2 linked regions of the Neodiprion lecontei genome follow. The protein of the gene in region 1 interacts with the protein of each later gene in a pairwise test. Links are inferred from orthologs where the notes say so. Each region holds a gene or a part of one and is shown on either strand. Other genes may lie near its edges. The genes, in order: HMG box-containing protein 4; complement component 1 Q subcomponent-binding protein, mitochondrial.

Evidence for each region.
Region 2: the proteins of HMG box-containing protein 4 (region 1) and complement component 1 Q subcomponent-binding protein, mitochondrial interact in a two-hybrid assay, tested with the Drosophila melanogaster proteins (2 studies listed by BioGRID). The link is inferred for Neodiprion lecontei from reciprocal best matches to the Drosophila melanogaster genes CG4617 and P32.

The regions. Positions count from the first base shown.
Region 1 is NC_060263.1:38,126,794-38,143,720, forward strand, and holds HMG box-containing protein 4, read left to right. Parts: upstream 1-7,190; 5' UTR 7,191-7,327; coding exon 7,328-7,457; intron 7,458-7,589; exon of another isoform or gene 7,590-8,337; intron 8,338-8,591; coding exon 8,592-9,136; intron 9,137-9,278; coding exon 9,279-9,354; intron 9,355-9,644; coding exon 9,645-9,830; intron 9,831-9,917; coding exon 9,918-10,330; 3' UTR 10,331-10,464; downstream 10,465-16,927. Other genes in the region: dual specificity protein phosphatase Mpk3, read left to right, coding at 1-242; phospholipase A-2-activating protein, read right to left, coding at 2,344-2,670, 2,797-3,218, 3,311-3,551, 3,633-3,963, 4,165-5,040, 5,248-5,384; U3 small nucleolar ribonucleoprotein protein IMP4, read left to right, coding at 5,955-6,890; glycine dehydrogenase (decarboxylating), mitochondrial, read right to left, coding at 10,554-10,664, 10,814-10,959, 11,054-11,520, 11,595-12,244, 12,328-12,610, 12,693-13,213, 13,359-13,749, 13,933-14,068 and 2 more; ruvB-like helicase 1, read right to left, coding at 16,557-16,927.
Region 2 is NC_060264.1:1,827,401-1,843,211, forward strand, and holds complement component 1 Q subcomponent-binding protein, mitochondrial, read left to right. Parts: upstream 1-7,631; 5' UTR 7,632-7,830; coding exon 7,831-8,047; intron 8,048-8,207; coding exon 8,208-8,358; intron 8,359-8,443; coding exon 8,444-8,646; intron 8,647-9,040; coding exon 9,041-9,129; intron 9,130-9,222; coding exon 9,223-9,372; 3' UTR 9,373-9,480; downstream 9,481-15,811. Other genes in the region: pre-mRNA-processing-splicing factor 8, read right to left, coding at 1-196, 278-842, 937-1,083, 1,159-1,397, 1,637-2,017, 2,297-2,587, 2,670-2,876, 2,954-3,280 and 8 more; TP53-regulated inhibitor of apoptosis 1-like, read right to left, coding at 10,450-10,542, 10,896-11,126; CDK-activating kinase assembly factor MAT1, read left to right, coding at 12,377-12,500, 12,597-13,438.

The sequences.
Region 1 (16,927 bases):
GCCGGAAGTCAAACGTAGCTCCGAATTTTCACTTCATGGAACAGTTGCACAGCTTTGAAATAGAGCTCAGGAATCGGGGGGATAGAAGTAAAGGCAACGACAGAAGGTGCATCGGCGCCTGCCGACCTGGAGGTCCTTGCAATTGTCCCGTACCTAGCTTTTTAAGTCCTATCGATCTAGGTCTTAGTCCTGATTCAGGTATTGAGTTTGATAGATGGGCGGCTAGTACGCCGGCAGAATGAGACGGGGCTGGGGGGACCCAATACAAATTCTAGGTCCCTCCCAGCTATTCATTCTGCCCAGCTCAGCCCAACGCGGCCACGTAATTGCTACGGGTATACGGAAAAAAGAACGAGGATAGTTTTATTATTTATTCAAAGAATATTTTATCCGAGAAGTTTGAAAGGGTCTTTAACAGTTGAAGATACTTTGATACGCTTCGTTTTAAATTTTTTTCATTTATCCGATAAAAACCAGAAGGAAAAAAATACCTTTATTCCGGAACGCCGTTTGGGTTGAAATTTGAAATTTAAATTTGATATTTCTTTTCTGTTCTTCCGCAATACGTGACTTGTAAACTTCGCGAAGCCTCGGTTACTTTATGATGATACATTGAACGAGTAAAGAAATCCTCGGGTAAAATCTTTATTCGGTATTCTTTTTTGGAGAGCATTCCCTACCCCTTTTCGTGCATAATTTGTCTCAATTTTACATTACGTGTACGGTGATATGCATGAAACAGAAAATTGGTTCAAACTGCTCTAGTGGTTTGCTAGTGTTAGATGAAAATAAAAAAAAAGATAAATCGAATAGTCAGATCAGTACGCATGTTGTTAAAAAGTTGTAACGGCTGCGTTAAAAACTGCTTTTTCTGGTTGTTGAAATATGCATTCGGTGGCCCAATGTACTTGGGATAATGATAATATACTAGTGAAAGAAAGTAAATAACTAATTAATTAATTAATTAAGCAAATGAATGAATAATGAATATCGCAGTCTGAATCATCTGCACATTTTTGATTGATTGTTCGAACTTCAGAGCAGCAACATCACTTTTCTGCAATATCGTCCTACAGATCTCAAGAATATATTAAAAAATTATTTTTTTAAAAAAAACCAAAAAAAAAAAAAAAACAAAGAAAAAAGCCAACACATTCACATTCCCGTCGCGAGCCTAAATCTACATGGCTGAAACAAACTATCTCAATATATAGTATGTATTTTTCATCGAACATAATTGAAATTAATATGAATATATACAGTGAATGTTATTTTTCATGCAACTAATTACAAAGTTAAGATGAACCGGCTCTTGATCACTCAAGACCGATCGTTTATCTGTTAAGGAAATATATATTTGACGTTACTATAATAACAATATTCTACTACTACACCGTTGTCTGTTGTATGTTTAATGGATTGAACGTCCGAAGAATTAAATCAAATATGTATATTACATAAATTATTATTTTATATTCGTCGTTGTACATATTTGAGCTCATTTTTATTTAGATATACAAGTTATCTTACCTCATGTGCGACTTTTGTTTTATCACTGTCACTATTACATGTCATCAATTTCTCTGTCACTCCAAATTTCCCCGTTAAACTATTCGGCATTTTATTCGAATTAAATAGAAAAATCATAGAAGCTTACAATGCTGACAATGTTGAATCAAATACTAAAAAAAAAAAACGTGATCTGCATTGAATTCAAGACATTACATGGGTAGTAAAGTTCACTGATAAATTAAAAACTACTCCCTGTGGGTTGCTTAGGAGAAAAGAAAAAAAAAAAAAACTAGAAAAATTCTTGTATCAAAGGTCGCAATTATTGTCAAATTTGGTAGCACACGCAGACGTAAGATTTTCTCCAGCAATGCTAGAGTTGTGGGACAATCATTAAATAATTTTTCGCCTCTTTCATTTAAAAGTGCTCTCGATAAATTTGAACACTGCTTTTATTCCAAATGATGCTAATTTTAATGGGTAACACGTAGCACACTCTACTACACACTGTACATGTAATGGATGTAATCAATCAATATTCACACAGCAATTCAGTAAATAATGCAAAAATATTATCATAAATGAACATTACATAATTGATGCAGGTCTCGCGTGAACAAGAAACCGTCCCAATTCCACGAATTGGAGCCAAATCATTTCGAGAAGATATGAATTTGTTGCCTAAAAATTTTATGTAGACTATTCGAGTAACTAGGTCTCTCATAACCAATTACGAAGAAATCGTGAGTTTAATTATTTTGAGAAATTCGAATTGCCGAATGAATATTTTCTCCTTCAGTATTAAAAATACGAAAGTTTGACAGTAAGAATTCTTTACATAATTAGATCAATAATTTGCTTGGAACAATTAGAAAGTTTATTTTGTGCAGGGCTATTGGTCGAACATTCGGACATTGTCTTGATAACAGCCAGTGCACTTTCGCACTGTCGCACAGCTGTAATTAATTTATCACGATCCTCGGGGTCTGGTGTTGCTGCCAAAATTGTACCCAACCCAACGAGCCCTCTGAATATTGCTTCGGGCTCAGTCAAGAGCGGCAAAACGGCAAACATCACATTAAGTACTCTTGTTCTGCCAGGTGTATCGTCAAGTTTATTCAATGCCACTATTAGATTAAGCAGGTAACTCGCTATCGCAATCTGAAACAACAGTTGTAAATTGATTAATTGTAGGATTGAAAACATGTACGGATAGAAGCTCTAAGAACGTTGGCGCTGATCAAACCGTCCCGCATGTCAGAATAAATGTTGAAGTACCGGTTATACCTGGTTATGTTTACTTCCAAGAGACGAAAGGTCGAGTATCGTCTTGAGTAACTCGTCTTTATAATGTAGACCCAATGCTTCACCCTTACTATGGCAGAACATATTAGCTAGTACTCGAAAAGCTAGCATTTGATTAGCTGGAAGTGCATCAGTTTTGATGTGCCGCCTCAGCACCGCCAATAATCCGTCATTGCATAGCTGCGAGTTAACATCTGGTCGAAGTACAGCCAGCCTTGCAAGGTCTAGTGCTGGGAACACCAAGTTATTTGGCCAATTCAAAAATATTTTCAACATTTCAATTGGATCAGCTCCAACCTCGTCTCCGTTTTGACTGCACAATCGTTTTACAAATGGGTCTAAGCATTCCTCCGAAACTGTGTGAATGCCATTGTCAATCTTTTTGTTGAACTCTAGTAATTTTTCTGGAAATTTTAACAAATTATTTGTTGTATATTTTTAGTAGTAACAAAATTACTGGTATTTTATGTGCAAAAAATATGCAATCATTCATCACCAGTGATAGCTGGAACATTGGCTTGCTCCAATTTCAAATAGGTAGTATGCGGTATATATGTCTGCGACACAGAACTACTGGAAGAGCTAGCCGACGGTGTTGGCACATTATTTGGTAATGTTCTTCCAGGAATTCCAGATCCTGGTATGTACCTATTTCCTCCTGTAAAAGGATCAGCGAACTGGGGTTCGGCGTTCAGAACTGGGGCAGACTGAGAATTATTTACAATGAAGTTTGCCACCTGCAAACAGGAAAATGTCATTGAAGGGTCTTCGTAAGCCATGTGCATAAGACATTTTGTTTGATAAAATTGATATCTTGCCTGTTCAAGAAATAGTTGACTAAGGTTATTATCATGGATAAACTTTTGGGCCGCACACCAAGGATCATCGCCATTATTGTAAGGCAACTTTAGAGGTGGAACACCGTCTTGAATGTCGACTGAGAAAACGTAGTCGTACTCCATACCATTATACAATTGTTTACCAGATGTGGCTGGACTACCACCAGAGGCACCCATCACATCTCCCACATGTTGCCACTGTTTGCTTGATTGCGACCAGCTGTAAGCCTTGACGGTATTTCCATCTCTTATCATTTTTGTCTGACCATCTCTTTGTCCAGGTTGATGTAGAGCTTTGGCATCTGGCAGACTGTGGGTCACCAGGAATCATCATTGTTAATGTTTTTGATCAAAATACATAAGATGTTAAAAATTTCGCACAATCATTCTAAAATTATGTCATTTTAGAACAAGTCAATGATGCGTAGGATTAAACGTACACCCTTTCCTTCCAGAAGTAATATTCAAAGATGAAAGAAAAATTTGACAAGAAACAGGGAAGAATACCTACTCACTAATCTTGATGCCACCCAACTCCTGCTCAGCATTAAGCTGGGTATTAGCGATGGCCTCGTCGTACTGTTGCAAAGTTGCAGCATCGGCATAACGTTCAGGTTTAGCAGAGAAAATTCTAACTAATCCATCGGAAGATCCAGTGACAATGTCTCCATTTGGCAAAATGTCAACTGACCATATGGACTGCGCAGGGAGTGTTAAAGTCTGTTGGATTTCAGCGTTGTGCCAAATCCTAACAGTCCTATCTTCTCCGGAAGTAACAACATGTGAACCGCCCAGCAGAAACGTCGATGCTATTCCATACACGTAGTTCGTGTGCCCACAGTAAGTGCCGAGGCAAGTCCCTAGGGATACACTCCAATGTCGAATGGTTGCGTCATTGGCACAGCTCAAAAACTCTTCGTCCTTGATCACGCATATTCCACGAACGCAATCTGTGTGTCCTGAGAACTTGTGGAGTATGGTGCCATTTCTCCGCCAGGCTATAACCAGCTTGTCAGCCGATCCTGAGACTATGACGCCATTGGCCAAATCTGCCACACACCAGACAGCTGCCGTGTGACTGGTCAGAGTCAGTTGTGGTGAATCCAGCTTGTTGATATGCCATAATTTTGCTGTAAGATCCCACGAACTGGATAGGAATGTTCCCTCCTCCTTACCTGCACTCAAATTGCACACAGTGTTTTGGTGCGCCTTTATAGTGTGCAGCGGATTCTCTTCCCCAGGCAGGTAAATGCAGATATTGTTGTCGTTGCTCCCAGTAATTACAAAGCCATCCGGGAATTGTTCAGAGGGGTTTATTACGCATACTGAACTCACAAAGTTGCTGTGACCCTTTAGCACTGCGGATTCCGTGTATCCGGCATTTAATCTGAAAGTTAATTATTGCGGAGGGTCAAGCATCATGAAAACCTGAGCAACGAAGCGAATTTCCGTTCGCTAGTCAACTATGGAACAACCAAACGGGGAGCTTGACAATGAAAAGAAAATCCCTCATTTACACGTTGCCTCGATCACAGGGACAATAATAATTCGTTGTGGGACATTCAAAGGAATATAGGTTAGAGCTTCGACATACTCATTCGGCCTCCAAAGGCGAGCGGTTTTATCGCGCGAGACTGACACCAGACTTCCATCCTTAAATGCCGCTACAGCTCGCACATCAGAACTGTGACCAACTAACACGGAACTTAATTTATACGGTGCTTCTTCCATGATCTATCAAAATTGATTGTACGAACCACTATAAAACTGCATCTATCATCTACTGTCATCCACGCCTGTGCTCACGGGCGATGTAGTAACGCACATTGTCCGAAATTTTCATCAAATTCGTTGTCTTAGGTGTCCGCAACGCTCTGCTGGTGGCCGTGAGTCAAAACTTTAAAAAGGGCTGAAACTCTGAGTCAAATTTGATTTAAACGTGAAATAAATAATTAACGTACTCCAACACGCGTGGAAAATATCATTATTTGTACGGTAGACTGCATAGCCTTGTTCGTTTTTTACAAGATGCGTTCATAATTATAGCACGTCGATTATTGATTTCACGCTTCAACCGAATTTGAGACGAATTTAAAAACTTCGAGAATTGCCCGATGTCTAGCTATTCATATCTAGCTGTAGCGTAAGTTCTCTACTTTTTACTCAACCTATGGAATACGAGTAGCAAAACACGTGTGTTGCATCGGATTTGATGCTTGTTTGACGGCAGCCTCGCAAATTGTGAAAAATAAATAACGCATTATTGTGTGCTAAAGGGTTGATAAAAACGAAAAATCGAAGATGTTGAGAAGACAAGCGCGACTGAGGCGGGAATACCTCTATCGAAAGTCAGTACAGGACAAAATGAAGACGATCCAGGACAAGAAAGAGAGGTTAAAACATAGCCTAGAAGAGAATACTCCGATCCATCACGACCTAAGGAAGAATGCATTGCATTTGCAAAAAAAAATCGAGTGGGAAGATGCAGGCCCCGAAATGGCCGTAGCGATCAGTACGGAGATGGGAGGAGCAATCGGCACGCACGAGGACGACGAATACCGATGGGCAGGTGTCGAGGACCCGAAAATAGTTATAACGACATCGCGAGACCCCAGCTCGCGGCTGAAAATGTTCGTCAAAGAGCTCAGACTCATATTTCCAAACTCCCAAAGGATGAATCGCGGTAATTACGAAATGAAACAGCTAATTCACGCCTGTCGTGCCAATGACGTGACCGATTTTATCATGGTGCACGAGCATAGAGGGATTCCAGACACCCTGGTTATCTGCCATCTGCCCTACGGACCTACAGCCTATTTCACCATGTCAGACGTCGTCATGCGTCACGATATTCCAGACATTGGAACAATGTCTGAACAGTATCCGCATTTAATATTTCACAACTTTAAAACTAAACTGGGACAGAGGACTGTCAGCATATTAAAGCATTTGTTTCCTGTACCTAAGGAGGACAGCAAAAGGATAATCACTTTTGCTAATCACGACGACTATATTTCATTCCGTCATCATAATTACAAGAAAATAAATGGCAAGGATATTGAAATGTCTGAAGTCGGTCCCAGGTTTCAACTTAAATTGTACGAAATCAAATTGGGCACATTAGACAATGCTGCTGCTGCTGATTCAGAGTGGGCGTTGCGACCGTACATGAATACTACTCATAAAAGACGGTTTTTATCTGAGGAAGATGGGTGGCAACAGGAAGATGACTTTTAGATGCACTTCAAGTCAGACATATGGTTTTTTATAAATAAAATGAATTTTGTATGTACAGCTATGAAATTGCCTTTTTCTCATTTACCGTAAATCTAACCTTTAATTTTTTCTAAACATTATGTAACTCGATATTCAGTGCATTAAATGGAAAATATTGAATGTTTGAATCATCTGCTCTTTTTCAAGTAATTTACAATTATTAATAACTCATTGATGATGTCAGTTTCGCGCGCAAATCGAGTCGCCACGAAACAGTAATTCAACCTAGATGGACGGATCATGCGCACTACAGTTTCGGTTGCAACGCTGCAGTTGTTTTTAAAAGATCAGGGTAATTGTGTGTGTGTAAAATTGGTCTAATTTAATTACGAGCACTGAAAAAGAAGTACGATCATTTAACTAAACTTGAAGCTTGTTTTAATTTAAACAACCCCGTCATGCAGGCGGACATTCGAAAACAAGTACCAAAACTTGAGAACCCCCAAGCACAGCGGCGTAAGAAACATTTCGACCAGCTCGACGAAATGGAATCGTTCGCGTCCCCGAAACGTCATCAAAAAACGGATGGTGAGATACGTCCAAAACGCGTATATAAGCAATTTGGTTAGCTTAGCTGCATCCTAAACACTACTGTGTCAAAATTTACGTAGACATTGGCGCATGGATTTTATTCATTTAGTAGTAACGTTCGTTTTTGCGATTTAGCCTATTCTCCGTATCATGTAGTTTCTCGTTCTCTTGCCACGTAGTTAGCGCTTGTGTATTTGTCGCGGTCGGCGTTGGAACTAATTCATCAGCGCGTAAATTGAGCGCAGTTTGGAACGGATCGATAAATTAACATTCAATTATTTAATTCAACTTTACTAATATTTAGAACAAATTTTCGCATATTATGTTACCAAATTTTTCACAATAAGTCGCACGTAAAATTTTTCCAATACCAGGGTCGTCGCAAACGTGAAAATTTCTATGTAGCCAAAGAATTCTATTAAATACCCTGAAATTTAATCCCATTCTAAAGTCAAGCCACTCAATTTGAGTCAATCATCCTATGAAATAAAGAGGGACCTGAGAACTAGATTTCTGTTCGTAGGGAGTAATACATTTGTATTGTGTTCAAAAAATGCTGTCTGCAAATCAATATTATTATTATAATTGCGAATAACAAAGTAAATTGTGTAAAGTTGAAATTTAAAACAGTATTACAGGGTGCTATTGGACTTTGTTCATTCAATGGTTCCCAAATAATTTCATATCTCACTTAACTTGATAAGCATTTTCTTATTGCTAAAAGAAATTTAGAATTGTTTAAGTTGGAATGTGATAATTTTGACGTATTGAAACTGTAAATTTCTATACTTTGAAACAATCTGAGAGAAATCATCTCTTTGTTCCTGAAAACTGGTTAAGCTTGAGAATCTGGAAAAAAAAATTTTGCAACAACCCTGTAAGTTTACATCGTAATTAACTTTGGCAAGAAAGTTGCTGCAAGTAATACTTTATTTGAGTTACACCCAATATATAGGCCGACCCTTCATCAGTTCTGACCAGTAAATCCAATTTGCGTAGTGAATCCTACTTTTCAATAGTTTGGTAGTTTTGAAGTCTTTCATTTGGATTTAAAAGCGTAGTTAGATGTAATGCGATGTGTTTTTATCCCTGATCCTCTTTTGGCAAGATCTAGTTGGCTTTACATTTCAGATTTAGAGGTTACAGGGATATCACGTAGTGGTCGCGTGCGTAAAAAGTCCTCTAAACTTATGGACTTTGAGTCTCCTGATGACATAGCAGACAATAAATACAAACGACAAAAAGCCCAACAGTTACACGCACAGCATTTGCTAGAGCGTTATGAGGCGCATCGTCAGCAAGTTACTCAAAGTCATTCATCTCAGCATGGAGACGCCCCTGTTCAACGGCAACGCAAAAACTCTGGATCCCACATCGGCAGAGTTAAGGCTGAGCCGTTGTCCGAAAATGAAGGACACTCCTCTGGCTCTTATTCTGAAGATGATACGGCAATGAACGAAGAGGAAAGATATAGCTTAGAATCTGGTAGTGATGATGAAGTGGATCCCTTATTGATTGATGATAGAGAAACCGGATTCAGGAGACTTGAACCACCCGGTCAGGAAGCTCCCTCACAGGCAAATAGTTTGTACATGCTTGAGAAGTGCAAGAAGAAATTAATTATCAAGGATGGTAAGATTATTGGCAGAATGAAGGCTCAACGAAAGGATAAGGGTGTAAGTAAACTATAATATCTTTTACTTTTCAATTATTCATGACTACTTTTCAAACGTAAGAGAGACAAATCATCCTAAAATTAACCATCTGGAATGTTGCTTTGCTCTTGGATTGATAAATGAATAAAATTTCATCTTACAGAAAACACGCTTCACAGCCTATATGCTGTGGGCAAAAGAGATAAGACACGAATTAATGAAGCAATATCCTGAAATGGGTGAGTGAATATTGATGTTGATACGCTGCAGTAAAATCGTATACTATGCTCGCTATTTAGTAGATAAAAATAGTGGCTAGTTATGCTCTGAAGTAAGATATAATTTTTTAAAGATTTGGTATGATGTTCCTTACGTCTCTTTTCATTGAGAAGGTTTCAAACGTTGATAAATATTACTGTTTTTTTATGATATGACAATCTTCAATATCAATTATTTAATTGATCTTATGTATCGTGAAAATGAACAACTTTCCGGTTACATGTTGAAAGAGATCTATTGATTGCTTCAGATTTTGCAACTATTTCAAAGCGTCTTGGTGAATTATGGGCAACTGTGCCGAACTTGGAAAAGTACAATTGGAGAAGACGGGCGAAACGTCTAGCGTCAAAGCCCAGCGCAGCAATCGCAGTCAAAGATGAATCAGTATGGAAAATGCCTCCACCTTCATCGAAAAAGAAATTCATTAACAAAATTGGTAAAGGACATGTTGAGGATCATCTGAAAGCTCAATTTTTATGAAGCTGGTTTGCCAATATTAAGTTAACTTTTGGTCAATTTTCAGGAAACGGTAAAGAAACAAAACCTTCCCCTTCAAAAAAGACAATACAGCTTGGAGTACCTTCCGTGGTAGGAAATATTCCAGTTTCACCACCATCTAATCGTGGTGGTAAAGATCTAGTAAATGAGCCAGTCATTGGAACAGGAATGTACAAAGTGATAGGAATGCAGCCTGTGGATGTAGCTGCTCATTTGAAATTGCTTGGTGAAAGTCTGACGATAATTGGTGAACGATTAAAAGAACACGAGGGCCAAATAGCGGTTTCAGGTAGTCTTTCGGTTCTGTTAGACTCACTACTCTGTGCTCTTGGTCCATTAATCTGTCTTACGCAACAAGTCCCAGAGACAGATGGTGCAAAACCTCAAACACTTTCTCGAATGCTCGACAATATTGCGTACATCATGCCCGGTCTGTAGGCATAGTGTCACTAATGCAAAGAAGTGAAAATACAGCATTGTATTATGAAAAATATAGCTTTTATCGAATTAAATTGTTTGATACTTGTGCTTATGAGACGTCATACAATAAATATATGCTATGCTGAAGTTAATGAGTCGAGATGATATGTCTAGTACAATCTTAAATCCTAATCTTGCATTAAATATTTACACATAAATAAATAGCACTAATTATGGGCAACTAATATTTCGGCAGAATCTGTGGACATGTACAGAACAGATTCTTATCGCCGTATATGTCATCAATTCTTCCAACACTCGGCCAGATCTTTGTATCGGTTTTCACAAATGGCTGCAACAATAAAACATTTATTTTAAAAACGATTAAGTGCACAGAAAAATTATACTTTTTTATAACTAATTGAGAAGGTAAGGATCTGAAATTCTTCCAGTGTTTGAGAAAGAAAAGTTGAAGATACTAATAGTCTATTAATTTCTTACAGCGGGAAAGGCAGCTTGTTCGCGCGTATATGGCCTGTTCCATTCTGAGCAAACAACATGCTCCTGGGTATGTGGTGCCATTTTCAAAGGATTTATTTGGGAATCTAGTTTACCATTTTCTATTTCCCGAATTTCGTTCCTGATGCCTGTAAGGGGATAGTATTATTTGAAAAATGAAGAACAGTATGTAGAATTATTTAGAGGCCAGTAAACAATAGTAACTTATTAACGAAAACGTACTAATCAAAGCTTCGCAGAATCTATCAAGCTCTGGTTTATCCTCTGACTCGGTTGGCTCTATCATCAAAGTTCCAGTGACTGGCCAACTCATTGTTGGCGCGTGAAAACCATAATCCATGAGTCTCTTAGCAATGTCAACAGCCTCGACATTGGCTGTTTTCTTGAAATCTCTCACATCAATGATAAACTCATGTGCTACGAGACCAGTGGTCCCCTTGTACAACGTCACGTAATGACCTTCTAATCTCTTGCTCATATAATTGGCATTAAGAATTGCTACTTGAGTTGCCTTCCGCAAGCCTTTCGGTCCCATCATCTTTATGTAGGCCCATGAAATTGGTAAAATCGCGGACGAGCCGTAAGGTGCCGCAGAAATTGTTCCTAAACTCTGTTTACCGCCATCCGTGTCATCAGCCAGTGGGTTGATAATGGGATGAGAAGGTAGAAATGGTGCGAGGTGTTTTTTGCTATAAATGAAAAAATCCTCATCATGCCCAGTTTGATTTTAGTCAATTTTTGAGAATCATCTTGTACTACTTACACCCCAATTGGCCCTACGCCAGGTCCTCCACCGCCGTGTGGAATGCAAAATGTCTTGTGTAAATTTAAATGTGAAACGTCGCTTCCGTAATCACCAGGTCTGCACAGTCCAACCTGTGCATTCATGTTAGCTCCATCAAGGTATACCTGCCCTCCACCGTTGTGGACCATTTCGCAAATATCGGCAATGGTTTCTTCGAAGACACCATTGGTGGATGGATAAGTGATCATTAGACAGGATAAATTCACTTTGTATTTATCTATCATTTCCTGTAAATGAACTATGTCGACAGAACCATCTTTTCTCACATGAATCGGCTCAACACGCATCCCTGCCATTTGTGCTGAAGCTGGATTTGTGCCGTGTGCAGAAACTGGTATCAGACAAACTTGCCTGTGGGCATCACCCCGCGATTCGTGATAACACTGGATAGCTCTCAATCCTGCGTATTCACCTTGCGCACCACTGTTTGGTTGAAAACTAATCCTATCATAGCCTGTTATGGCACAAAGATCCTTTTCAAGTTCCGTAAAGAGTTGCTGATATCCTTCGGCCTGCTCGATTGGTGCGAAAGGATGTATATCAGTGAAACCTTTGAAACTGGATGGCATCATTTCGGTTGTTGAGTTCAATTTCATTGTACAAGAGCCCTGCAATTCAAATTGAAAACTTATGAGCATGCTGTAACGTAAATAGCGTTTTTGACCAATGTTTCACTCCAGCTTTCACTTACCAGTGGAATCATACTATGCACGAGAGAAACGTCCTTATTTTCTAAAGACTTCATGTACCGTACAATTCGAGTTTCAGAATGATATGTGTTGAAAACTGGGTGCACCAAGTAAGGTGTTGTACGCATAAATGGGGAGTCAATGATGCTGTAAATTCCTTTCGAATCACTTTCTACAACTTCTTTAGCCGTCATCTTTGAGCCAAATATTTTGAGAAGATCATCAACGTCTTTCAGTGTAGTCGTTTCATCAAATGCTATTCCAATTGACCCGTCATCGTTATACCTTGAAAATCGCAATAGTTGTAGGAAATAAGATTATACATCATCTACGTGGTCTTGATTACTATAACACTACACTTGCTTACCTCAAATTAACTTTAGCTTTTGTTGCTCTTTTTCTTACAGTTCCTTGATCATCTCGAGGCAGTACAGTGATTGTGTCAAAGAAGTGTTCGGTTTGGACTTTGTTGTTTCCCGCTTTTAATCCACCAGCGAGAACTGCAGTTAGATTATGCACTCTGGTTGCTATATCTCTCAATCCTGATGGTCCGTGATAAACTGCATACATAGCGGACATGTTGGCGAGTAGAGCTTGAGCAGTGCAGATATTACTTGTAGCCTTGTCTCTTCTGATGTGTTGTTCTCTGGTTTGAAGTGCTAGACGATAAGCGTCAACACCATTGGCATCCCTTGTTACACCGATCATCCTTCCTGGCATTAACCTTACTAGGCTTCGACGACAAGCAAAGAACCCTGCATGTGGTCCCCCGTATCCCAGTGGGACACCAAATCTCTGACTTGTACCAATGCATATGTCAATTGAAAAGTCGCTGGGTGGTCTGATCAATGTTAAGGAAAGCAAATCGCTCGCTGCACACACCAAGGTCTGTAAAAGAGAAAATTCAAGATACTTTAATAAGGGATTGCAACGACACAGCGATATCTAAATGAATTGTGGACAATTTAGATCTGAAACGTATTTCATATTTGGGCAATCAACCACATTGTTCTATGCAAGAAATATCGCTTACTCCATTAACATGGGCCTGTTCAACAACATTTGAGAAGTCGCGAATCTGCCCTGTTGTATCTGGATACTGTAAAAGAATTCCAGCAATATCTTTTTTTGCCAAGTCAACTTTAAATACATCTCCAACTTCGATGGTCAGTCCCAGCGATGTAGCTCTTGTTACAACAACATTTATCGTTTGGGGATGTAATTTATCAGACAAAAACATTTTCTTTCTTCTAGTATGCCTGTAAGTAAGCGACATCGCTTCCGCAGCAGCAGTGCTCTCATCCAGAAGAGAAGCATTCGCTACTTCCATCCCTGTTAGCTCACAAATCATAGTTTGGTAATTTAAAAGCCCCTCCAATCGCCCCTGAGAAATTTCTGGTTGGTAGGGCGTATACTGTGTCGTCCTAGGAATGTAATTGTCAAATATGAATACGTTTTAGTTAACTTCGATAGGATTCTTAACGTTATTCAGTTAAGATTCTTATTAATAGTTTATTGATGGATTGTAGTACACACAAACAATTGTTGCCGAAATTGGTGCTCTGACACATAATAATAACCATGTACTAAATGATAAGTTTGCTTACCATCCTGGATTCTCGAATATGTTTCTCAATATTGTATGTGGGACGCTACAGTTATGGTACCCCATACCGATATAGCTACGCCAAACTTGATTCTTTTCCGAGACCTCTCGAATTCTTTTAATTAATTCATACTCATCTGGAAATGGAAAATTTGATCGTGGATACGGAATTAATAAGTATTCAAGTAATCAAAATTTTTTTCTTTCTTCGTGATTATTGCCAAAAGAAATTGTGAGAGAATTAGGTTTGATATTCGGAATGAATATATGTGTAAATACGAGTCATCACCGACGAGATGATAAAATTATTTGAGTCTGTTCTAAGTTGTTATTAAATTCGACAAAATCAATTACGAAAATTGTCAGATGTTGATAGGAAAAGTACGTGAGTACACATCTCAAGTCACAGTTTCACCTCTTGACCGAAGATAAGTATGCTCTTTATAAAAAGTGATTATATCAGCTATGGAACATTCATTTATGCGATTAACTCAACTCTCGTGTCCCCTATCTGACCTCACGTGTTCTACCACAATTTGTTATTCGAATAACCATACTAGATTGTGTGTATTATGTTTCTTATCAATTCATTCCACTTCTCATGTTTAATGTGCAATATCATTTCTCCGCATAAATAACGCGATATTTTTACATGCTATCCAACTCGTGTCTGCATGGAAAAATTTCATTGAGGAGAAATAGTAAAACTGAATTTTTTAACTCTATATTTTTATCGGTGATGAATTGAATCTCACCAAATTGTCAAGTGTGAAATTAGAAGAGTTTAATGCAATCGTCACGGCTCTGAAAAAAAAACTCACGGACAGACCTCTAAGCTATTCGATTGGCAAAGTACTATACTTAATTATTACGAGTAGATCGCACAATATGTGAGGCGCAACATGAATAACATGCAGGCATCCACTTATATGCAAAGCTTACGTATTAGCAACCCTGTGATAACCCAATGAATACACTTGACCCTCTGTCTCTGCTGGGGGCTCTGTCAAACTTGTTTACACTTATCAAGTACGTTTCCAAATACGTAGTTAGTTTATCACTTTCAACAATCTTGTTCCATAAAAAGATGTTTTGAAATGAATTATAATTCCATTGAGACACTGGATATGATATACTAAAAATAAGGCGTGAATTGAAAACAATGTATGTGACACAATTCTCTTTTTTCCTTGATTATGAGTTTATTAAGAAATTCAAATATATTGTACTTACTAACTGGCTCCTCTATTTTTAAAGGCTCGTTCAAGCAAATTTTTTCTGGTACAGCAGATCGTGTCAATTCATCCAAACTCTAAGATGAAGAAAAATGTTCTTTAGTTTAGTTAGATTTTATAAAGATTTGAAACGTTTGTTTCACTTTTCATCATACAAGTTTGTAAATTGTATCAGTATTTTTGGAATTCAGTTAGTTACAGTGGATTTTCATCTGTGTGATATGTACATTTACATATTCAACAAAGACAGCACTGTTGCAAAACATTTCAAATAACTAATTTTGCGAAAATAATGTTTCCGTGATTATTGTAAAATATGAACGTAAATCATCAAACATGTCCACGAAACTTCAGTTTTACCTTAAACCCAATAGTCTCGAGCATTTCAAATTGTTCATGTTCCCTTGGTCCAATGTGTCTTACTTGGAATTCTTCTCTCTTTGGAAATAACTTCTCGAAATTGGATAAATTAATACTGTTTGAAACTAAGGCTCGTGCATACTTGATCGTATATTTTTGAGTGTGTAAAAGTCGGGAACAGGTAGAAACTTTAATTATTGACTGCATCGTGTTAAATTATTTCAAATTAATACTTGATAGTGATATTTAGAAACTTGTTTTCCCTGCTATTGGTAACGAACTCTGTACTCTCTTATTAAACCGTGCGTAACTAAGAGTTCAAAACGTGAGCTGAGATTTTATACCACTTGAAGGCGATGACGCCACGTGATGTGTGCGCGTCTCTCGATTGCGATTTGAACTTTGTTGACCTTGGCACAATGCGGAGATTCTTAGACTATGTCAATGAAAATGCGACTGAAATGCAATAATTTATCAGTTAATGGAGATTACACTGTGTTAGTGCATTGCGGAATGTTATTCACATCTGCGATAACTTGAAATCGCTTTTTCAAATGAAATCTTTCCTTTCCTATTAGTCAAAAAAATATTTCATTCCATTACCAAATGCTTGTACTATTTTATATAATCCATTTTGCTTGCAGCATCTTGTTTGGCTAATGAAATTTAGTTTTATATCTAATAACAGTACACTGATAAATTCGCAGGATATGAAAGAATTTTATTGACATGGTCTATGGAACATAACATATTACAATCTAAATATGAAGTACATAAAACTGGAAAATTGCAGACAATTCACAATTATGGGAATCTTAAATTTACAACATATTGGTAATTGGAACACATTTATATAAGTTGTATTTTCTCTGGCGAATGTGTATTCTTTCGTGATAGTCTTTTCATTCAGAAAAGTCATGTGAAACTAATTGTAAAACTGCTACAATTGTATTCAGAAACAAAATAACCACGTCGAATCTAAAAATTTGTTCAATAATATTCGAGTCTCAGGATTAACAACGCAACACGTTTATTTCATGTATTTATCTTTATGCTGTGTCAGGATTTTAGCCGATGATTTAGCATCCAAAAACAAAGCTCCGACTTCCTCAACATCTTCTTTCTTAATCACAGTTCTTCCATTAACTTTGGCAGTTAATGCAGCTGGTGTAAGCAACTGAACGACATATCTTAGCGTTGTCCTAGTTCCAATGTCACCCAGAGTTTGCAAAGCTTCGTCTTCAACTTGTAAGCCTTCCGTCGTAGCCCGCAATTTAACAATCTGTTCAATTTCCTTTCTCGAGTATGGCAAAGTTCTTATGATTAGTAATCTATCGAGTAAATCGAGTGGTATTCCATGTGGCGAAGCAATGTCTTCTGTGCCTCTGATGATGCAACGAC
Region 2 (15,811 bases), on another chromosome or scaffold:
GACGACGATTTTGCGCATTCGCCTCTTGACGCTTCAACGCGTACTCGGCCCAGACTCGTTGAGAATCAATGAACTCTGATTCCCATGGCTGAATGTATCTGTACAAGTTGGGAATCAACTGATCCTCGTCGTGGCTCATTCCGGATCGGAAATGAGTAATTCCAACGTCAGTTTGCTTTGACCATCTCAGATCAGACTGAAATTATCAATGAAAAGAATGAAAGATTTGAAACGACGCACACCTGACTGATACATTATTGAAATATGTGCGAATTACCTGTGGAATGAGAACGTGTCCCATAGACAGCATACCGAGTCCTCCAAGTTCTTTGGGAGTATAGAAAACGACAGGTGGAAATCTCGAAGGCATTTTAGAGTTCAAACCGATCTTGATTCTGGTTTGAATTTTGTTCTCACACTTGACAAGTAGATCCAGAAGTTCTTGAGTATTGACAACAGCTTCGCGGAAGTAAGTCATGAGACCGATGAGCGCAGTGTTCCATTTGTTTACGATTTTGGTGAAAGTAGTCGACCCAGACGCCATGAGGATCTGTCTGACTCTGTTGTGGAATCTCTGAAGACTTTCGTCGTCAACTCTGAGGAAACACTGTGCCGTCCTTTCCTTAGTGATTTCATTCTGCAGATTCCAAACTCCGTCTCTGTGCGTGAATTCTTCATGCGTCGTTCTGCATTTTGGTAATATGCGACACTCGAAACCACTCATGTTGAATAACAAATTGGGATTGTCTTTACTGTAGACACTCACAAAACTATTCTCCCACTGAATGGTGGTCGTCGACCGAGGCAATCTGTTCTTTATGTCCCAGAATACGGCTCGACCGCTGCGAATTAAAGAAAAAAGAACTTCAACAGTAGATAATTAATCGTTTGCGTGAAAAAATTAGAAATTAATGTATAAAACGGCCAAACACTCACAGGTTTACGTCGTGTTTCATCAATCGCATTCTCGCATCTCTAGGCCAGCACTTCTTATTGTTGTAACCTACGATATTTTCGTTGTTCGGATCTGGATGTTCGGTCAAGTACCGTTGTATCAGATCTCTGGCTTCTTCTGCTGTGAACCTGTAAATATACTTAATGAAATTTCCGCAAGAAACTTTATATTACCTTCACTAAAAAACTGGATCACAATTTTACCTGAGAAACAAGTGGATTCTATCCACGTATCTGCAGAATAAACGAATTGGATGAGCCGTTTCAGAAGCTACATCTTGGAAAGTCAGAAAATCGTTGGGCATTTGCGGTGGCCCAGCCATTTCGCTTGCTCTTTGCAAACCGAGCACGAGTAAGTCCAATACCAAGCCATAGTATTGTGCTATGAACGAAGCGAATTGCAGACCTCTTATAATACCGTAACTGTTCGTGTGATTCATGTCCTGGAAATAAGGTAAAAAACTTTGTCAATCGTAAAATCCTGAAGAAAATACGACAGTCCTGAAATCGATTCAACTTGTCATCATCTTGGAAACTGTATCAGGTATGAGAAACCAGTACAGGGCAAAAGTGATCGTTACTTTACGAGGCACTAGTAGAAGGCTGACAGATAATTGAATTATTTAGCAATTTCTACATCCTCGAAATTTCATAATGTAAAGAATATGGAAATAACAATTACCTTGTAATTTATGACAACGTTGTTCTTTGCTGTCATGTAATCAGCGATATTGTGATCAACGATGAGCCTGAGGAGTCTGTTCAGCAATGTTAAATCAATTTTTTCGTACAATTTCTCAAACTTCGACTCAAGCAGGACGTTGCACTCGCCTTCACTAACATCCCACACATCCTGCAAGTTGTTTATACCCTGACACCACTTGTACACCAAAAGTGGAGGCGGTTCTGTATCAGATGGCTTTACCCAGGGTGGGAAAAGTCTGCGTTTGTCCGCCTCGTACCAGAGATACTGATCCAGGTACGCATCCGTGATTTTTTCCAACGGCTCAACGTCATAGACGGGAATCAGGTGACTGTAGAGATCCATAAACTCGATTCCGACCTAGAAATAGATCGCGAAGTTGAGAGAGAGGACATTTTTGGGGAGAAAAAGTTATTTTCCATATCAAACAATTCAGGTTGTGCTATTTTTCCAACTAAAACAGGCCAGATGTTCATCTCAGACAAACATCTGCTCACTGAACCAGAAGTCAGCCTCACAAATGGCTGATTTCAGACCCCTACACAAATCTGTCATCATGAATATTCAGACCAGAACAGAGTAATGGTTTTGTACATTAGCAAAAACAAAAACACACAATAAAAGTTTTACGATGCTTACCTCTTTGAACGCCCTCTGCGTCAATAGATGACGTTTAATCCTTGACAACGCCTCATGAGGATTGTCGTAGGCTTGTTCAATCAATCCGAGTTCCTCTCGCTGGCTCTGATTTAACCTTGACTTGACGCTGTAGGCTTCCTTCAATCTTTCCAAAGCAAGAATCAAAAGTTTCGTGTCGTGTTTGTAAGACAATGGTGGGAATGGTATTGGCGCAAATCGACGAGACTCAAGCCAGTGAACTGTCGTTGTATAAATGGCAACAGCTTCTTCTGGAGAGATGTACGGTCCATCCTAAAATTAATTCGACCGCAGAAAATTAGCATTACTTCGTGCGTCAGGTATTTAATCGAAGAATCAACCTTTTAACACTCACTTTCAAGTAATTGTGTTGCCTCTCCTGCTCTGCCTTCAAGTAGAGTCTTGTCAGACGTCCCAAGTTCTTTTTACAGACTGTCTTATCGACTGTAGCACCTCGCCTAATACGTTCGCGATTGTAATGTGCGGTGTTAGTCCACCAGTCAGCCTTCATCTTCACGTATCGAAGAATCATATTTTCGATCGGAATAGGCAGCCCTGGAACCTATACAAAAAACAAATTGTCACTGAAGAGTGATGAAAAAAACGAATCAAGAGATGAAACGGAATCAAGTCACAAACCTTCCATGGAATGTTAGCTTTCCAGCATCTCCAAGCCTCGCTAAGATGTTGAAGAATTGTTCTGGCTTTGTTCTGTTTAATACCTTCAGGCATCATGTCAACGATGTCGTGCATCACAGAGGCTCGCAATTCGAGATCGAAGTGCGACTCGACTCGCTGTTTGGTCACAGTCTTTGCAACCCCTTTGGAATGCCGTCCCTCGAATTGCCTAGACAAAAGATTACCAAGCCAGCGTTCAAGCAGCGGTGTGATACCACGCATGAAGAATAGCCACACTCTCCATCCAGGTGCCCAGAATCCACATCCGGGACCTTTGCCTACTGGACCCTATCATCAGCACACGAAAAAAAGATTTTTTTGTAAAACACGAGCTTTACAGAGTGAATAAATTCAAGAATAGGGAAACGGTACGTGAAAAAAAAAAGCAAAAAAATACTCACAGTGTTAAATCTGTAATAGATAAGGTGCTTCAAGTCTTTGCACATTCTAATCTGCCTCATCAGTTTGTACTTGTAGCGATACATGCCAGTAAGTTGTCCGACATGAGCAAAGATGTATTGAAGCCCGTCAGCGAGTTGAAAGGCATCAACGTTGTTCAAACGGTACTGAACGTGAGAATCGATAATCAGTTTGGTCAGTCGGAGGATTTCACGACACAGATGGAATGCTGAAAGTAAAAACAAGCATTACGACTAGCACATTACAGTCCAAACTTATGATCTTTGACATTTTTACCACTCACCATTTCCAAAACGCGACTTCTTTCTCTCTTTGGTGGTCAAAGTCTTGACCGGTTTCAAGTTAAAGTTATAATCAAGATGAAGATAGTTCAAATTCTTTCTGTGAATGAGCAAGTTCAACATATTGTATCCCTGCCTGCATACTTGAAGACCAGCTTCTACCCAGTCGATAGTTGTAGTCTGGAAGAACTTGGTCGATTTGAAAGACCTGAAGAGGTATCGTTTTTTCTGTGGCTTTGGAGGCCTGTGTTTCAATGCATTCAGGACAAAGTACTTTAGCAATTTCTGGTAGCTGACACGAACTTTGACTGGCTGTCCTGGTGGACAATGTTCGCGGTACCAAGATTTTACCAGGGGAATATCAATCGCTCGTCTAGTTCTGCCAGATCGCGTGTTAAACGGACGTGGTGCCCAAAGCAAAGCAATTCCATTAGCCGTGTTGTCTGTATAAAGCGGAGTCTCCTGCAAAAATGGCTGAACCTCTTCAGGCAGTACAAAATCTTCATCTTCTTCAAGAAGAGGCTCCATTGTCTACGGAAAGAGAGGATTTTCTAAAATTAAATTGCGAATTGTGGAGATTTTGAATGAAACTCGATGAATAAAATACAGTGTCGTCATTTTGGAAACTCCGTTAGTCATGCTGCGCTAACGCAGGGCAAAAATGACCCTTCATCTACGAGCTATTTTAGTTGAACAACTCATTGAACAGGGATGTCGACGTGGAACAGCTCGAAATCAAATATGATAATCTCTACACAGCATTTATTAAAGTGCAATGGATGTACCTTCAATGAATTTCGGTGTGAAATCGGGTTGATCAATGGGTCAAAATAAAAGGCAGGTAAATCTGGATCCTCGGTCTTGATGTAGACAACGTTAGGAGCGTGGTACCTGCGACCAGGATGTAATTAAACAAATACAAGGATAGTACTGTTAAAGTTAAAAATTTGTCTGTGATTTCAGCAGTCGCCCTCTCTCCTCTACGAGGGTGACGAATAACGATCACTAAATATTTTACCACACGGCTAGTAAGACCACATATAATTTTAATATTGTCTTAAAACTGGTGTGGATATCAATATAATAACAGAATCTTCAGAAATTTAAAAAATAATCTGCAAGTAAAACTACCTACCACGAAAGATGAACGAAGTGTGGCATGTTGTTGTACAGATAAGGAAAAGCGATACGATATTCCGTACGAATTGGTTGTCGGATGATTATTTTATTTATGTCGTTGAACTCGTTCCAATCCTCATCAGCAGCATTTGAATCCTTCACAAGGGGCTCAAACTTAGGACCGCCAGGAATGGCCATGTTCAAAGCTTTTGCAGTAAAGAACGACTTTGGATCAAAGAGGTAGAAGAAATTTTGATCAACCAAATCAGTCAGCAGCTGATTGGCCAACCGATATAATGTTGCCATTTGTGGAAGGGACAAGTTCCACTTACGATAAGTTGATCCATTAACATGCCTGGAAATTATTAGAAAAATTTCGTTGCATGAAATAATTTTGGTCATGTTTCTTCAGGCTGCTAAATTTTGAGTATATACGTAAGTCTATTTCAGATTAGCGTTTGATCCAATCACAACGTTGCATTTGTTTTATCTCAGACAAGCAAACAACAACGCTGCAACCGTCAGACCACATGAATGACTGATTTCAGGACCCCTACGCGATTCATCATGAAATTGGTGTATAAATGACGTATATTGTCAGGAGTTGGGCAGCAGGTCATATATTGACGCCAAAGCTGCGAAAGGTCCTGATATTGCTAATGAAATAATTCAGTTCACTTTCAAGAAAAATTTCAGCTGAGCTCAGCATCATAATCAAGCATTTACTTACTTCGTCCCAACCAAAGGTTTGTGCTCGTAAAACCATGTAGCAACCGATTCGTCTTCCTCCGAGTCAAGCTCGATTTGTATGGCTTCCAAAGGCTCGACATCCAACACATTGTCTGCATAATCTAGAGGCGGTTCTTCGTCATCGAACGGAGGAAATCTCATTCTTTTGAAATGTCTTCTGTCTCGTTTCTCACGCCTCATCATGATCCACATTGTTCTTAAAATTAAATTCACTAGATTTTAATCACGATCAAACATTGGGCCGAAGTAATTATTTGACCTTTTTTTCTCTCTTAACAAAGAGCTGGAAATTCTTTAAAAACTCACCCCCACTGAGCGATATAGACTGGTTCAATGACCCATGGAATTTCATTGACAAATGTGATGGCTCCGGTGATATGATACAGCACTTTGACGTCCCGAATTTGTTCCCATGGCATTGGCATGTTTTCCAACAATTTCATCACAGCATGAGGCATGTATTTCAGAGCACTGTAATTAATATAATGACCGTATAACAAAAGGTGAAGACAAAATTACAAACAAAAAATAGAGCTTCATTGAACACTGATACACGATAATTACCCCAAATAAACACGTTTGTCATGTCTGTATTTTCGGCTGCTCATATCTCCATGATCTCTAATAATCTTCCTTATGTGCTCAGGCGGCATATCCTCCTTCTGAGCATCGACGAACCCAAATTTACGTTTTTCCGCAAAACGTTTGGACTGTAATTGCTGCCACTTTTGAGCTAAAATTTGCAGAAAGTGGGATAACGAAATCAAGTTATCTAATCATATGTGAACAGTTTTCATCAATGAATGTTATTTGGAAATATATCAATTTTTTAGATGTTTTCTTCAATCACTAGAAAATAATACACATGCGTAGAGGACCTTTTCTGTCTTTCCAACATTAACAATAATAATCCATTCTTACCTTTTTCCTGCAATTTATCTTCGGAAATAACTTCGGGCTGCTTAGGCAGCTGCGGTAGCGGCGGCCCAGCCATTGCTTGCATGTGAGCATGATGGGCTGCCTGAGCATGAGCCGCTGCTTGCGCGTGAGCTTGCGCAGCTGCAAGCTGAGCGTGAGCCTGCTGCTGGGCCATCATGGTGGCCCATGGGTTTGGGCCCAGCAAGTAAGGCGGTATAGACATTTTGACGCTGACTTATTTAGCTGAAAAGAAATTTTTTAAATCTTTGATCAATCAGCTAATTATTATAGAAATTATGAGTTGAAAAAGTAGTATAACTAGACGTAAATGAGCATATAAGAAATCGTGCCAATTGACCTAGATATCATACAATCCGAATTAAATACGTGAAAGTAAATCAATACGGAAATACAATGTGGCAAGAAAATGTCACGTAATCTGTCAATCATTTACAGAGTTATTGAGTAATAAAAATGCGGCGTTGAGGCCTGTAAATACACATCCTTTGGTTATGGTTGACTTCCATTGTCAAATTGGGATCTTAAAAGCTTTTATTACTTTTATTCGATTAGTGAAATAATTATGATATTTTTGAGGTTATATAAGCAAAAATTTCCGCTTAGTGATCAGTCAAAATCGACGCCGACCGTTGATTTTCATTGGCGAGAATGCGGTGAGGACAAAAATCGTCAGCCATTTTGATCACGAGAATGTCGTGAGTGTTGTATTTACCTTGGTTTCTGTTGCAAATAGGGTATCGCTAGTTGTTCAGCAACATCGCGCCCAATTTGCTCTTCCAATTAATCAACTGGTGTTATTTGGCACCTGATTTTCGTCCGTCTATACGTATCTTTGCGAAACGTATCTCCTACGTTTACAAGCCGACATGCCGAACGAAGACGAAATTACTCGAATACTCGAAATCAGTAGCGCCGCTACAAAATGGCGGCTGCGTTTACTAAACTCTTTGTAACACTGAGTCGACTTCCGGTCACTAAGGTTACACGCATCAACCGTCGAGAAAAATGCCTGCACTTCGGCGTGGAAAGTCCACTGAAAGTCACATTATACGATAATAATTTTCACCCCATATCCGCGTCTAAGTATACCTGACTAGTTTGTGGTTTTGAGCTCACCTTAGTGAACATCCGGTCGGCGAACAGGGTAGAGGCAAGTATGGTAGAGGAAGACGAGAATACAAGAGTGAACGTAGCCTTGACGCAACCTTTTCCGCGCAAGGAGTAGCTTGATCGCGAGCCGTGCCAAGTCGTGCATCAGCCGAATTTTAGAAAACAGTGTAAATTAATTACAACAATTATCAACGGCGGTATAAGCCAGAAGACAGAAAGATGAACGGATTAGTCAGAACCGCTCTGAGGGCCTCAACTCTCAAGGGATTAACACAATCTACCGTTGTTGTCGGCGGCACGGCACGAAGGGATTTCGCAAGAACGATGTGGAACATGTGCAGCCGGCAAAACGAACTTGCACCACTAACGAGTTACAAAATTCAAAATCCCAGCGATTTTTGCAGCTGCGGCTGCTCCCGAAAGGCACACACCAAAGGTTAGGGTCATTTTTCAATGTCACCTCGTAACTTCTCCGCCCGAAATATAATTTACTATTATTATTATTATTACTATTATTTGGTTTTTTTTTTTAGTGATAATTTTCTCTCTATTTATTCAATTGCAATTTTTTGTCATTTACATGGTTGATGCTATAGCGGAGAAAGAATTGGGACTCTTTTTAGCTGAAGAAATTGTTGCGGAAAAGAAGGCACAAAAAATGAAGACCATTCCCACAGAGTTAGACGGCTTTAAGATATCGTTAGATGGAGCGGAGGTTACGCTCACCAAAAAACATGGAGATGAAACGTAAGCCAAAAATTGTTTAGCGATCTTCTTGCTATAGTTATTACAATTTTGTGACAAAAACTTGACTGAATTCGTAATTTTTTAGCATAACGATAAATTTCAATGTCAATCATACTGTCGATTCTGATTCTGAACCCGACATTGACACCCCAGAAGACAAGGCTGAATTTGGAGAAATGAAAAGCAAGCCAAGCTTCGAAGTTGATATTGAAAGAGGAAATCAAACTCTAGGGTTCACATGTTCATTCAATAATGAACCGCAAGCTTCTGGTGCCGATGATGGCTACAGTAAGTTTTTTTTTCCCTCCCATGGACCAAATTAAATTTTAAAAAAATCTCGCCATTACGAAATATTGAAGTTACATTTTTTTCTTTATTTTCAATTTGACTAAATTTACGCTGCATTCTGTTTTAAAATTGTGGTTGATCGGACGTGAATGGTATCCAAAGCGTTGAGTACAAATTGACAAACTTTTTGTCTTTTTGATAATTTACCTTTGGAAAAGTAAAGTGCTACCGTTGGCATTGGGTAATATCATAAACAACGAAATTATCTCAGTCACGGTGGATCGACAAACCCTTATAAAAGTGCAACATTGCAACTTACGTAAATAGAAAAATGAAAATTAAACAGAGTAGTAAGTTCACTACATGAAAGAATTTTGACTTGTGTCCTGTGCAGACGATATCTTTGGCATAGACGAAATAACATTGTACGAAGGAGAACACAATGACAAAATTTATGCTGTCGCTGGTGATGTTATTGATGGCGTAAGTATATAATAACAGATATGGCATAATACTGAAAAAAAATTTTTTCCCTTGCAACGACATTGTAATGAAAATAATCATTTCATTCGACAGTATCTTTATGATTTACTGATGAACTATCTTGAGGAGAAAGGAGTGTCAAACGAATTTGCTGAGAAACTGATCGAGCTGAGTACGACCTATGAACATACGGCATACATCAGTTTACTCGAAGGTCTCTCAAAATTCACATCTGGAAAATAATTCCGTTATTTGAATGTCTGTCGAATGTCCGACATGTTTACCATTAATCAGAAGAACTGTACTGTATAGTCTTAGGTCTCGTAAATAAACTCTTCTTACATACGCCAATTGTGTTTCCCATAACTTTCCTCTCATCTCTGAATACAAAATACGCATGGAAAATAAGGAATTAAAATAAAAAAATGAATAATTTATATGACATTGAACACGTGTTTGATAGTTTTCTATACATTTATATTACACATATGTATACACACATTCTTGATACTTGATAAGGAAATATGGAATTCAATTTGCTAAACTATTGGCTCTGTAAGAAAGTTGAAATCATTGTGCTACGAGCCAATTGTTATACATTTAAGCTAGTCTCGAGTAGAAGCTTTGAAACGTTTTTTTACATTTGGCATTCCTAAAGCAGAATGCCTTGGAAATATTCAATTGATAAACCTGAGTGTAATCAATAAGAAGCATCGAATGTCTCTTTAAAATTGCTGAGTGGTGACAATAATTAAGAATAATCTTTTCAGGCATTAATAATCGAGGTTTAAGCTTACTACCTTTACCGCCACACAAAGAGTTTAAAATAAGTAGCTATTGTTGAACATATATGAAGCCGAAGCTAGCAGCCAAACGTGTTTAACTTTTTAGAAATAGAGAAATATCGTTCAGTTTTATCAACATAATTCTATTAAAGTGTCGGGAGTTCGAGGTATTTAAATAAATTTAGATCTTCGTATTTCACTACCTTATCCGAACGAACATTAGAAAATTTGGCTCCTAATTCCGGCTGCTAGCTTTAGCCTTATAAACATATTGCATAATGAAATCATTCATACCTAGAGATATAAAACAATTTTACCTGAAAGTAAATTCATATAAATTACTTCAATCTTTGTTAATAGCTTTTATTCTACTGAATTAAGGATCCGGCGATGCATGCTTCTGTACCGCCGCCTCACTGTTGGTAACTTTATGAGGTACCGATGGGATCGTAACTTGTGCCAGCGGCATGCACGGCGAGCAAAGCATAGCTGACATCCAAGACGATATTGGCATCCACGGTCTATCGACTAATTGTCAGCTGCGAGGCGGGGCTGTTTTCTCCTGATCTGTACCTAGGTAGTTAGCTTCCACATCTTTAATCTCTATGTGCTGATCCTTCATAGCTTTCTGAAATTTGAAAGATGGAAAATCATTGGTTGCGAGAAAAAAGTACAGAGCTGAATTTGAAACTGAGGATTGATTAATCTTGAGGTTGACATAGTTTATCGAAGAGATTTCAAGTTTTCGTTTCTTTGCGTCCAACTCACCGCCACGCACTCTTTATAGACTTTGAGCAAGCTAGAGCACATCGAGTCGTTTCTATCGCCCTTGAGAAATTTTTCAGAGAACCAATAATTGAAACAAGCGTCGTATTTCTGTTTTAATTCACTGCATGCTTCCATGCTGACGTTCGGCTCAGTCTGGTCACGGTGACAAAAACCTATTTTGAAATAATAATAACTAAATAGTAATAAAATTACCTTTACGCACTGCTGGTAGACTTTGAACAAAGGAGCACACATGGAGTCGTTTGTTTCCCCTTTCAGGAATTTCTCAGCGAACCAGAAATGGAAACACGAGTCGTATTGCTTCTTGAACTCATTGCACGTCTCGCCAATACTGTTCATGAGGAGATCTGTGCTACTCGGACTATTTCTGAAAGCAGACCCAACCGACTCCAACACGGTACTTCCAAAGCCTTTGGCTTGCATTTTGCATTTGCTGATAGAGTATTGAATCGAATCCTTTAGAGTGAAATTACGTTTTTTACAATGTAAGTCAAAGGCTATCCTTGATAGATATTCGATATTTGGCTACAACAAATTTAGCGTTAGGTTATGCCAAATGCAAGCCACTAATTGAATATAGATGGTAATATTCATATACTCGAAAACTTGACAGATTTAATTTATTGACAAGTGCCGCAAACAAAACGAAAACAGCGTCTTTATGTCTTAAAATGACTGACGAGAATCAACATATTGAAAAATTTTAAGGTTAAAGTTTTCGAGACAGAATTTAACCTTAAATATTTTACATCATGATAATTGTAACAACTGAGACAACAGTGTTCTTTCATATAACGTTGAAGGGCCTGAATTTGAGGTTACGTTGTTCACTTTTCTTTGCGAACAGCCGAATGATTGCACGTAGGCATATTTTTTTATCAATACGGCGCAAAGACTTACCTGCGTTAATTGTTAATACGGAGCTAGATTGTCTCCTGGAACAATTTTATGTACTCTCTGATTGAATTAAAAACGCTCGTACGATGTGTCGTAAATACATAAAAAGCACCGTGGTTTTGATCGTAGAATCTGAACTGTCAAACGTCGAAGACAAGCTGAACGGACAGAGATTTTCACGAGGAGCGAATGAAGCAACTGAGTTAGTCGCGTCTGTAGCGTGCGTTAAAATATATTCAAGAATTCAGCCCATCGATTCTGCGTGCTCGACTTATCACGTTCGGAGTGATTGTGCCAGATTGTGCTGATTGTAGGGTCGAAATTTTCGGGTGCCTCGACTTTCGAGAGCCCGGCTCGTGTTTTTCATGTTTCCGAATGCTTCCGAATGTTTCCGATTAGTTTCAAAAACCAATTTCGTGTCAGATGGCGCCACGAAATTGTGTCTGCACAAAAAACGCAAAGGCTTCTCTTTGCACGTCGCGTGCGTTTTCCGGTTTTTGGTTTTGCGTCAAAAGATCCGGCGCTTTTGGGCGCTTTGGAGTATTGTTGACAAATAATGTACTTATATCTACCTACGTAATAATACCGTTCCTCAACGAGTCATTATATTTGCATACAGGGAGAAGTTTTCAGGAAAAATAAAGTCTGACATAAAATATAATCTTATCTTATGAAATGTGCGGTTAATAAAAATAGCTGCTGGGGTTAAGTTCACGTTGTTGTTTATGCTTACCCTCATTTATTCCTTGCTGGTTGAACAATAATCACTTGTCACAATGGACGACCAAATTTGTCCCCGTTGTAAAACGACCAAGTACAGAAATCCGTCGTTGAAGTTGATGGTAAACGTGTGTGGACACGCGTTATGCGAAAGTTGCGTCGATCTCTTGTTTTTGAAGGGTAATTATCGATGCTCACAGTTCCATTACATCGTTTTCCATTCTAACGCTTATTTACAAACATTCAAATACATGTTGTTATTATTTTCTCTTGTAGGCTCTGGCGCTTGTCCCGAATGTCAAATACCGTTGCGAAGAACAAATTTCAGGATCCAATTGTTCGAGGACTCGATGGTAGAAAAAGAGGTAGACATCCGCAAGAGAATACTCCGCGACTTCAACAAAAAAGAGGAGGACTTTACAACGCTGCGAGAGTACAACGATTACCTCGAGGAAATTGAAACGATAATATACAACCTGGCCAACAATATCGACGTAATAGAGACGAACAAGAGGATAGAGCAGTACAAGAAGGCGAACAAGGAACAAATTTTGAAAAGCAAGTCCAAGCTGGGCAGGGAGGAATACGAGCTTGAGGAATTGTTAGAGCTGGAAAAGCAGCAGGAGGAGGAGCGGAAATTGGAGTTGATAAAGCAGGAGGTTGAAATGAAGAAGAAAAAAATACGTGAGAAAGAGGCTCTCATCGACGAGCTAATGTTCTCAGAAGCGGACGCCGCGAACATTGTCGAGACGTTCGCGTCTACGATCCAGGCGACCAGAGAGGAAGCTAAGGTCGTGCCAGTCGCAAAAGTAACCCAATTCAGTACCGGAATAAAATTCGGCAGACAGGGTCAGCAGACATTCATGCCTGTACCGAAAGTCGAGGAAGGTCCTACCTACTGCTACAAGCGTATCGAGCAGGAAGTCGAAGGTCCGCATCCTCCTGGCTGGCAGGAAATGGAATCTGGCGGATATATCGCGCACGTCAGAAGCGAGAAGCCGGCCGAAAAAGCCGGAGGCTTTAAGTCGAACATTGCGTGTTTGAGAGCGCTTCAGGAAGCGATGGCTGGGCTGTACCACAATCCCTCGCAAAGACCTCCCGAGTCGATGGCAATCTGACCCTACGACTGGTCATAAATTGCCGACGGTCTCCCGTCAGTTTGTTAAAAACTCCTGACGATATCGACTGACTGCGATGAAAACTAGCTTATTATACCCAAATGGTGAACAGACACTCCCAGGCTCATGTAGTATCGTGTAAATAATATATTCGTGGGCTGCTTTCACAACGAATTATACATTTTGTACGGCTGTACCGCTTTCATTATATTGTAAGAAATTGTTGACAATTTAATGCTTAAAAAGATGAGGATGATAATAATAATAGTAATTATCGTTGGGTGGAAGAGTTTGTAAAAACAAAATAGAGGTATGCGATCGGTAGTTTGACGTTTATTTTCTTTGCACAATGAAAATATTAAAATAAACAGAGGCGGTAAATTAGCGAATAAGCGACGTTCCGACAAGTCAAGTGATTCGGATTCAAATCTGCCCTAGCCTCCCGGCATCGAAGTTGGTACGACGATTCGTTAACAGATGGCGCCAGCGCTGAGTGCCAATAAATTCGTGCTCGGCGGTTAAATCCGAAAGGCGCGGGGTATGTATAAGGGAAGAAATGTTACACACCGTTTATGCACGAGGTCGAGGAGTGTCGGCGGCGAAAAACACTTCGGTAGATTAATTTATTTGCATTTCATGAGTGCAGCGCACGCCTCGGACGTATTTATCGTCCGGAATCAACATTTTTACCGAATTCCAGCCGAGGTTCGCCGATCTTTGGATACAGCTTCGCGTAAATAAGGTAAGACAATTTTCAAATTTTGCGTGCAGCGGCTCCTTATTTCCCGACAAAAACTGAAGTTAGTAACGATTCATACCTCGTAATTTTAGAACTGTTTGAAATACAGTAAACCGTAATAAAACGTGACATGTACTGATATTTGCAATCATAGTTCCTTCGAAATCGTTTGTTAAAATAAGAAAACACTGATTTTTTTCTCAACGTTTCGTTACGATAACGTTGCTAACTTCAACCTCGTCTATTTTCTTATTTTCACAAGGGCAATCGATCGGTATGTTTTTTTGTTTTTTTTTTTATTACGGTTCACCGAATTTCAAACAATTTCAAGATGAAGAAGTAAGGATTCTTCCTCAACATGAATCGTTACTAACTTCAGCTAATCGTTTAGACGCCAATTTGGGGGGGGGGGGGGTCAGGAAAAAAACGAAAGACAGTCGAAGATAAAAATGGCGCAGCGCTTCCGCGAATTCAGTGCGCCGCTGCCGGAGTTTGCGGTTTTTCAAACTGTCAAGAATTTGTCACGGATTTGCCGGGCACCCGTTGTAAAATGATAAATTAGCGTTCGGTGCCTGTAATAATGATGATGATAACACCGCGGTGTTCTCTGAGCCTGAGCTTTCTCTCCTCGTGTATCCGTGCTTTTACTTGCGTTATAACTCTTATATTACGTGCCCGGCGTCTCTCCGTTCTACCGGTATAGCTGCGATAATTGAAATTTTGATTTATGCTGAACCTCGGCGATACTCTCGTCTTGAAAGCTGCAGCCGCCCGCCGAAACAAAACGGAAAGAATTGCCAAATCGCCTTTCGGTTACAAGTAAGTTGAAGTCGACTCGCGGTTACGCGTATTTTCACCACTATCGAAATAAAATTTTCACAATTCTTCGCCGTTATGTATTATTCTCTGTTTCTTTCTTCTTCCTCTTCATTTCCCACGAGTTATACACCGTCGTTATATTTTTCACGAATTTATTTAAATTTGTGTCAAAACAAAAGAAAAAACAATTTTCGAGTGTCGTGGTTTCTATTCGTTTCACTTTTGTTTCTTTCAACTTTTTATATCCATCCCATCTGCACGCGAGATTCAATTGTTAATATACCCAATCAATTAACGTTCTCAAATTTTAATTTGACGTAAAAACTGAACGAACTCTTTCATAAAAATAAAATAATTGAAATTCATCCCGTCAATTGAAAAACACAATTGACTTGACATGAGAGATTGATGAAATAAAAAAATAAATAAAAAATAGTTGCGTATCTCGAATAAAAATTTTTTTGAAGAAAATCATCTTGCTTGTCCATGAAGATTACGAGAAAAAAAAAAGTAAGAAGCAGAAAAAATTACAATACACACAGAACTCAAAGGTGCAAATCTCGAGGTAAATATTATAGGTATAAAAATTCGTCACACACTTAACGCTCATTTTCTTGTATTTGCATCGTGATTTGTCTCCCCTCAAGTATCTCGGAGTTAAGAGTCACGTCAACTTGTAGATACAGCAATTAAAAATTAATTACTCTCGTATATGGGTACACACAAGTTATACATAAATGCATATATGCTACATACACATACACACATATATATATATATATATATATATATATATATATATATATATATATAAT